2 linked regions of the Saccharomyces cerevisiae S288C genome follow. The gene in region 2 interacts genetically with the main gene of each other region. Each region holds a gene or a part of one and is shown on either strand. Other genes may lie near its edges.

Evidence for each region.
Region 1: of ADY3 (region 2) and YKR015C, changing one enhances a phenotype caused by changing the other (phenotypic enhancement), as found in Saccharomyces cerevisiae (one study listed by BioGRID).

Annotation. Positions count from the first base shown.
Region 1 is NC_001143.9:466,140-470,310, reverse strand, and holds YKR015C (uncharacterized protein), read left to right. Parts: upstream 1-1,643; coding exon 1,644-3,350; downstream 3,351-4,171. Other genes in the region: MIC60 (Mic60p), read right to left, coding at 1-594.
Region 2 is NC_001136.10:25,663-30,816, forward strand, and holds ADY3 (Ady3p), read right to left. Parts: upstream 3,114-5,154; coding exon 741-3,113; downstream 1-740. Other genes in the region: GTPase-activating protein LRG1, read left to right, coding at 1-214; GUD1 (guanine deaminase), read right to left, coding at 3,323-4,792; AIM6 (Aim6p), read left to right, coding at 4,995-5,154. UniProt on the Saccharomyces cerevisiae protein: Involved in the pathway that organizes the prospore membrane (PSM) during sporulation. Mediates the assembly of the DON1 ring structure at the leading edge of PSM during meiosis II.

The sequences.
Region 1 (4,171 bases), on a different chromosome or scaffold from region 2:
GGATAAAGCCTCTTTTAACGTTTCATTTAATTGGGATAGATTCGTAAGCATATTCTGGTTAGATTTTTTGATTGAATTGAATTCTGATTCGGGGATGGAGAGGTTTGAGTCATTTAGACTGTTGATGAGATCATTCAAAGAGCCAATGATTTCTTTCAGTTGCGGATCAGAATTTTCTGTTTCAATATTTAGTGGTTCTAATGATAAGATTTTTTTTACTTCAATATTTTCCCTATTAGATCTGCGCGTTTGTGAACTACCAGTTAATCCAGATAATAAATCATTGCTCTTTGCCTTCAAGCCGTCCCAAGAATCTTCTAAAAACAATGTTGGCCTATCGTGATAGTGTTCATATGTTTCTAGTAAATCCTCGGCAAAAGGAACGTTATTAGAGAAAAAGTCACCAAATTTGTCATTTTTTTGCGAATATATGATACCTCCAGCGTAGAAAGCTGTCGCTGACAAAGCAATAGTCCAAAGGGTATTGCGAAATTTGTGCGAAGCCTTTTTTGATGCAACGGTAGTCCCTGTGTTTATGCTGGCTAGACCCCTCCTTAGCACAATTTTTCGTGAGGCAGTAGTTCTTAGCATCATACGAATATTAGTTTTTTAGACTTTTCAATGCGTTCTTATGCCTTTTGTGTTCCTTTACTGTGAATAGCTTCCTCGAGAATAAGAACAGTTTTTAATTTCAGATTATTTTTCACTTTTTTGACAACCCTTAATTCCGATTCCGCACAGAAATCCGTCTTAGAATTTTATTGGTTCAATGAGTCTGCTACACGTCTAAAGTGATTCAATTCTGCTTGTCCACTGCTATGATGCATTGGTTCTTTGCCGACTACGTACTATAAGAAGCCATTTGATGAATCACTATTTTGCAAGTAGTTTCTTCTGTTGTTAGTTTTTTGCAATATTTATTTCTCTTTTTTCTGTAAGAAGTATATGAATCTTACAAAATATTATGAAAACTTTGTTGTATGCTATTGTCATAAGAATGGTTACGGAACGTACGAAAATAGACTTGCTAACTGTTTTTGAGCTGGAACATGTTCCACGCTCCGTGTTTGATGTATAGCATATATTGTATTATGTGCCCGGACGATTGCGTGAAGATGGAAATGCAAGAAAATTACCTCCGGAAACTGATAAGAGATCTTGAGCGTATTTTGATTTGCCTGGCCTTATAGTAAACGGAATCATATCAAGTAGTTGATAAAAAGAAATGTATTGGTTATATTGGATGCTGTGCGGATATGTATTTCGATCTCTATTGAAATGTATGATATTTCTTTGTTTTCGTCAGACACTGAAACCATGAGAAGGACCCAAAAAAAGAGTAAAAGACGTTTGTCATCCAGGATCAATGACGTTACTTGCCTCTCTATAAGCTTAAAGCGCTTAGCGGATGATGGACGTGTGTAATTTGTTACCCGCCTCTCTTTTTTACCTTGTTGTGTCAGTAATTGCATCACCTTTGTCACCACAGAAATGGTAAGAAAATATGGCCATACAGGGCAAAGGAATTTGGCATATCAGTCACTGAAAATAGTCCATAAATTTATTTATTTTTTGTTTTAAAGTGATTACTCGGTAAGGTCTCGAATAGTTAAAAAAAAAATTGACGAGATTTTTTTTTAGCTATGTTTCTGGACTATTCTGGATATGAGGCTCTTACTGAAATCAACTCTTCCTTTGGAAAGTATGTTCTTCTATTGCAACAATTTGAAGGCTGTCGAAGTTTGAAAGATCGGCTTCAAATGCTTAAGGATCTGGGGAGGGAATTTATGATATTCGAGAACTTGAATGTGGAAGATTTCAGAGAATCTAAAAATATGATTCACAGATTTTATACTATGGTTATTTCTTTAAGACAGATTATGGAAATTGGGCCCTTAGTCAGGCGTAGCCCTGCTGTTTTAGTTGTGGAATTCGATTGTCCGGTAGAGGATTGCCTAGATGAACTGGATCCGTTGCATCCATTGAACAGGGCCTTTATATTTATTCATAAACAATGGACCTATTATCATCAATATTATATAGTTGAAAAGGTAAAAAAGGTGATTCTTGATATGGCCCCGGTAAAGGAAGATGATTGGAGCATCCTTCACAAGGTTGTTTATTCAGAAGGTTTTGTCGAAAGACGATATAAAAAGAAGAAATACCTCGGTGATATTTACATTCCACAACCATTAATGAAAAGCAATAAAATCACTACTATCTCAAATTTTTCCCAACTTACCAAAATTTCCAACGTCAGAGTTTACAGATTCAACGCTACAGCAGCGTGTGATCCGCAGAACTTGAACAAAAAAAACTTGAGTATCAAAGAGCTTAAAGATAAAGACCTTCCTAATCTTATTTGGACTTTAGAACCAGAAAAATTCTATGTTGACATGAGACCTTACAAGGAACACGAGGAAAGGAAAAAACGGAGAGAAGAAGAAGCCAAGGTGAGGATGCAAGGTGAGGAACAGGAGAACATTATGATAGAGAGAAAAAAAATGGATAGTATTGAAGTTGAAGCGTCATCAGGATTGAAAAATATCATAAAAACACCTCTCGCTAATAGGGTTGTCAATACTTTTAATAACTGCGCTGCTGTGGTAATAGGCTATGTAACAGAAGTGGATAAAGTAAAGGATGACAATGAAGAGAAAAATAACGACAGACCTAAAATTGCGAACGACGGAATAGCTCAAAAGTCTAGAAGCGAAAGTGAAGATAATGCAGGAACACCGATGGAAAACGCGTACTTTCAACCTGAACCCCAAGATAATGACCAAAACAACATATCTTGGAATACCACTATGAAAGATATTGATCCAATTTACATGAGTGAAAGATGTGCTAGAGTTTGGAGAAAGGAGCAACAAATGCTAGGATTGGAGAAGGCTCAGACATTTGAGAAAAAATATTGTAAAGATCAGATGGTTATGGACGAAAATCAGGTCGAAGAACCTGGTAAGCACTCGGAGAGACATACAAAAAATCAGGTAGTTAGACCTAGGACCAAAATAGCATCTTCCGCCAGTAAAAATGATAATAGTAATAATAAAAATAGTAAATCATGCAAAAATTGCCATAAAGAGGAAGCGCACGGTCTAGTGAGAGAATACCTTAAGATTAAACTCAACATATCACCTCATGGAGAAAGGAATCAGCGAACAAAGGACAAGAGAAAATGTATAATGAAATACAATGCGAGCAGTAACAACATCAACAAAATGCCTGGGGAGAGTGAAGTACTTGGGTCAACTATTTTAACAGATATCCACTTTAAGGATGTCGTAACTGTGAAATTTAGGGATTTTAAAGCCAAATTTAGAAAAGTCAAAATAAACGCTTGATTTGCCAAAAATGCTATAGTCGCATCTAGAAATCATTACCAAAACGTGACGATTAACATAATACATTCAAAAATAAGATAGGATGCATTACATTTCATTATACCGTGGATTGGAACTGAAGATGAAAATTGCAGTAAATAGACAATAATCAGGCCTTATGGTTGTATGTCATATGTATACTCAAGATTTGAACTTTATATCACCTTTATTAGCGCATTAGCGCACATTTTAGGCCCCATTTCGAGGAATGTGGATTTTTGGCAAATCAATGTTTCTAGGTGTCTCTTAGCTTTCTATATAAGGAGTAAGGTATGCTTCTTGATGACATCAACCGTTTACTATACTTTTTTTAGATATTTTGTTTTCTGCGATAAGTATGATGGAAAGTAAACTGGTAATAACGTCAATACGTACTCTCTTGTAATTGTAGTGAAGCACAGTAATTAATATTTAAGCGTTCCCATGTTCAAATGTGTGAAAGGTAGGTAAAATCATTATGTTAAATTTTGAAATCCACATGACCTTGAATTAAATAGGCACATCACGATTGTAAAGGAATGAAATCAATCTGACTCCAAATTACTCAATGTTCTTAACACTATGTGTATCATTGAGACCAAACGGCAACTTCATAGTGTCTTGCTTTCGTGGACAGCGACTACTATTCTGGCCGGACAATTCAGGTTTATAAAGCTCTGCCCCTGCGATATGAAGTTACAATGTTAACATACGGGAGTGAAGGGAACAGGCCCGTTTACCAACTGTCAGTATTAATTATTTGTTAAGTCGCTTCGATATCGAGCTCTGGACATATCTAAATT
Region 2 (5,154 bases):
TCACAATGAAGAAATGGCAATGGTTCCGAAATTTTTAATGAATCTTTTAAAAGATGTGCAGTTACAAAAATTAGATAACTACGAATCAATCAACCATTTTATTTCCACCGTTATGCAAAGTAAAACAATCGATTATTCCGAATGTGACATAAAAACTCCTGTCACAGTCAAAGATTCGACCACAACGGTCATACAAGGTGAAATAAACAAATAATAGGCAGAAACTGTAAGTTTCCCCTCATTTTCCTTTTTTTCTTCTCCTTCCCCTCAGATTTCGAGGTTTGTCGTTCTTATTAGAGTTCTTTGCTTTTTTCTTTGCCTATTTCAATAAAATCTTACCAGTATGCTATGGAAATGGACATTATTTTATTATTATACAACATAGTATATTCTGACTAAAATGGAATTAGAAATTGTAACATTAGTATGTACTTATAATCATTTGTATCATTGTATTACTCGCCTTTTGATGTAAATTTTGTTTATATCTCAGAACATCTCCAACAGCAGATCAGAAGTTACATTGTTCTTGTAAGTGCTTAAGAAGTCTGTTAGCAAATTGAAATCTTTCAGAAGAATATTCCACCAAAATTTCGGAAAAGCAATACCAGCGGTAAAATATCTGCCATGCTCTATATTATGTGACTTTATTTTAGGTGCACCCCCCACCAGTAACTTATTCTCTAAATAATAATTAATGACACCATTGAATATATTAGTTCTAAATAAAAAAAAAAAAGCTAAGAAAAGAAATATTTAAACAACGCTTGCAAATCATACTCAAGAGGATGCTTTACTTCAGCAATATCATGATTGTTCAAAAACTCATTCATTGCGACCTTTCTTCTACTTTTGAAATCTAACTGTTTACCAAAAACCTTAAGGTTCAAATCATTAGCAAATTTTGTGAGAAGTGTAAGCTCACATCTAAGTTGAATGACAATTGTTGGTACAATTTTTAAGAAGGTTTTTAATGGGATATCCAACACAATTAATAAATTTTTGATTAGATTTTGCGATTGCACATAGGTAAGGTCTGTCAGAATATCAAGACCCAAGGAGTCGTACTTTTCCTTCGTTATATGTGGAAAAGATTTTCCAACAGTTTCAAAATTAAGTTCGGTAGAAGGATCACCATATAGTTTTTTTAAATTCAGCTTCTCTTGGAATACATCTTCTTTTAGTGATAGAATTGTTTCTTCGAGTTTTAATATTTCACTTTGTTTTCCAGCTAACTCGTCAGTAATTTTCTTATGTGTGTTTTCTGACTCTTGAATTTGAGTGCTCCATCTTGAAGCAATCAAAGCCTGATTCTGAAGTTTCTCAACAATTTCCTGGTGTTCATTCATGTAATCGTTCAATTTATCTTCGGCATTTTTCTGAATTTTTTCACTTAGTATTAATTTTTCTTTTAACTCGCTCTTCAGTTTTTGAAAGTTTTCTTCCTTGAGGTTCAGGATATCATGCCATCTCCTTTTTTCCAAACGAAATTGTTGTTCTTTTGTTAACGCCTCTTTTTGAAGATATTTTATTTTGTGACTGTGCTGCTGTTGCATAAAATGTAATCTTTCATTAATCAATTTAAAGACAGAAATGATTTTTTCAAGACGTATACGGTCATTCTTTTCCAAAAGTTCTATCTTTCCTTTTAATTGTTTGTATTGCTCCATATTTTCAAGATTTTTGATATCTTGAAAATCCGGATAAAGCTTGGCAAAACCGTTTTGAAACATCGAAGGGGAATGGCCACATTTCATTTCTTCTAGTATGAATTTACCAAGGTCTTTCTCAAAAAGAGAAAGATTTTGCATATAGCTGTAAACATCATTTAACCTTTTCTCGTAAAACGAACCATTATCATGTAATTTTTTATTTTCATCTTGAGAAAGTTGCAAATTGCTTTTCAGTATTTCAACTTCAGATCTTAATTTTACTATAGAGTTATTCGATTCGTTAATATCTTTTAGAAATTTATCATTTTCTTGCTGCAAGTTTAGGATTTGTTTTTGCTTCCTGTATAGTTCCGAAACTAAAATATTTCTTTGAGAAAAAGCTTTACATTTAGTTTTGGCACTAGTCACTTCATTCTTCTCCTTCTTGCTAGCGTTTTTGTTTTGAAAGTCTGTAATTTTTTCTTCTCTAATTTTTTTAATTTCTTTGCGAAACCGGTCCTGAACAATGTTGAGCCTTTTTGATGCAGCTTTTCTTTCGTTGTGGAATTCCTTCTGCAAGTCTTCTATTCTTTGAAGTTTAGCATCATTCATGCTATTAAGTTCTTCTAGTTCTTGAATCCTGTCATCCTTCTCTTCTAGTTTTTGTCTTAGTGCTTTGATCTCTTCATTTTGGGACTGGAGCTCATCTAATACCTTGGGTAAACTATTTTCTTTAGAAATACTTCCTCCATATGATGAAGAAGATAGCCTAATTTCTCCTAATTTCATATATTCGGACTGTTCTTCATCTGGAGTTTTAGATGAGCGAAATACGTTCTCTAGATGCGCAACCTCTATATTCTCCTCCAGACTCTCATTGCTTACAACATAATGCTCATCATTTGAGATTGCTGCGACTTTGTGGGGATTCGTGAGGAGCTTTGTAGGTGTAGAAGAAAATCTATTCACTTCAATACTATTGTGTACTTTGTATGTGGTAAATTTACCAGGGCTTACATTTCCTAATGTACTGGGCTTTCCTGCAGGTGACAGAGCCTGCGAGCCTATTCCTACAGTTGGTAAACCACCCCTTTGTAGAAATTTATTAGGCGATTTTAAAGTATTTTTTTCCGTAGCATTTTCCAATGTACTAATGTTACCAGAAGGTGAAGAGGCTTCTGAACCTGCCCAACTCTCTGAGCGGTTTCTTCGGGAACGCCTATTCGACAGTTTTGATATAATATCAGAAGAAATACTTTCCTGCACATTAGATTTTTCAGTGGACGTAGGTACTTCAGAGTCTATCCAAGTTTGTGAACGCCGCTCTCGAAAAGGTTTACTTTCTGGAGACTTAGTTAAAGTGCCATCAGTAACATGTCTCATCTCCCCCTGCTGGTCGCAATCCGAGTTTTGTTCCTTTAGGGATTCAGGCTTATTCAAAAATGCTAACCAATGATTCATATTCGGAGAAGTTTGTTGTATTCAACTATCCCATTCAAAATCCCAAACCGAGTTTTGCAATTCTTTCACTGGCAAATCTCTTTGTGTTCCTAATCTTAATATTGTACAATGGGCGGCTAAAGCGCGATACGCAAAAGAAATTTGTACATATACTCAAATTACTCATTAATACTTGGAACAAGATATAGTAGCCCTCTAAACATATACAACTAAATCTGGTAGACTTGCTGGCCGGCTACCCAAACTTTAGTGGTGTTGCGATCATCACCGTTAAAGAACCATTTTGCGATTATGTCTTCATTAGTAAGCAGCGGTGGGTTCTTATAAGGGTCTTGCCCTTGCTCTTGCTCTTGCTCTTGCATTTGATCCTTCTCCTTTAGCTGCCAATGAAACATATCCACGTTTGAGCCGGGAGCATTGGTATCGATCATTTGAGCGTCAAACTGCTTACCGACGTCAAAAGTCCCCAAGGTCTCATCCATACGCAAGACTTGTGCTCCGCCCATTGTAGCAAGAAATAGGCACTCGGAGACTGAAAGTTTTGCATGATCAGTTTCTCTCATTGCCAAATGCCTTGAAACTGCAAAGGCCTGCCTTCCGGTGGTGAGTATGCTACAAGAATGACCGGCTGAAACGTCGGTGCCTAGACCAACCTTTATGCCCTGGTCCAGCAACCATCGAACCCTACACTCTCCAGAAGTCAGAGAGGAGTTGGAAATGGGACAATGAGATATACCACAGCGACGCTGTTTAATCACACGCGCTTCGGCATCTGTTAGATGAATACAATGTGCCAATACTGTTTTTTCTGTGAGCAGCCCATATTTGTCGTATACATCAGTATAGCTCTCACATTCGGGAAATAAATCTTGAACCCACTGTATCTCCTCCTTATTTTCCGACAAGTGGGTTTGAACGTGTATGTTTTCATCCTTGACTAGCTTGGACAACTGTTGCATTAGTTCTCTAGAACAAGAGGGCGCGAACCTTGGTGTCACTATAGGATTTACGAGGGGATCACAAATGGTTTCCCGTATGTACTTAACAACTTTCACAGTGCTTTCAAAGGAAGTTTTAGTATCTTCAATATAATACTCGGGACCATTGGTATCCATGCACACTTTTCCAACAAGAACACGCTGCCCCAATAAGGAGCTTAGTTGAGCCAAGAGCTTAGTGGACTTGAGATCAATGGTATTATAGTAAGCCACAGTCGTTGTACCGTGAGAAAGCGTCTTACTTATTACCTTATTGTAAACTTCTCTCGCAATATTTTCGTTTGCTAGTGCGGCTTCTATGGGGAAGGTATACTTCTCTAGCCAATCCAGCAGGGTAGAATTCCCAAATACGCCGACATTTGGATATTGCGAGACATGGTTATGCGTGTCAACAAAACCTGGAAAATAAAAGCTGTTATTTCGAGTCTTGTCTTTTCCAATTATGTCAACCACCGTGACATCCTCTGGTGATAAGCTACTATCGTGATCTAAACAATCTTTGACAGGATCGAGTGAATTTCTGTTCACAAACCTGATGATTCCGTTGAGAACTCCAACAGATGTTTTCTCTCTGATTCTCAGCTCTCCTAATTTAGGGGTATCTACAAAGGTACCAAAAAAAACTAGAAACTTTCCATGTTTGTCGTTGAATTTATCAAATAATAAATCACTTTTTGTCATATCCTCTTCAAAGGACAGCCCAATTCATATATTCATTCAATAAAATGTTGTTCTTTTGCCAATGGCCTGTTTTAAAATCCTTATCTTGTCTCCTTTTATAATCCGAAACTATCCAAACTTCCGAGTGATAAATCGCCGGATAGGCATAAAATATGACTCGAGATAAGACCAACAAAGATAAGTACCTCGGTTTAGTTAAGCGATGTTAGGACTGAAAGGGTGTCTAACTATTCTTATTGGATACGTTATTGCTGTCTGTGCTTTGTTTTCCAGTAGGGGAAGAAATCCTTCATTAACTGATTGGGAAAAGTTAAAGGACCAGAAAATATCGAATATTGATAACTTTGGGTTGACCGGTCAAC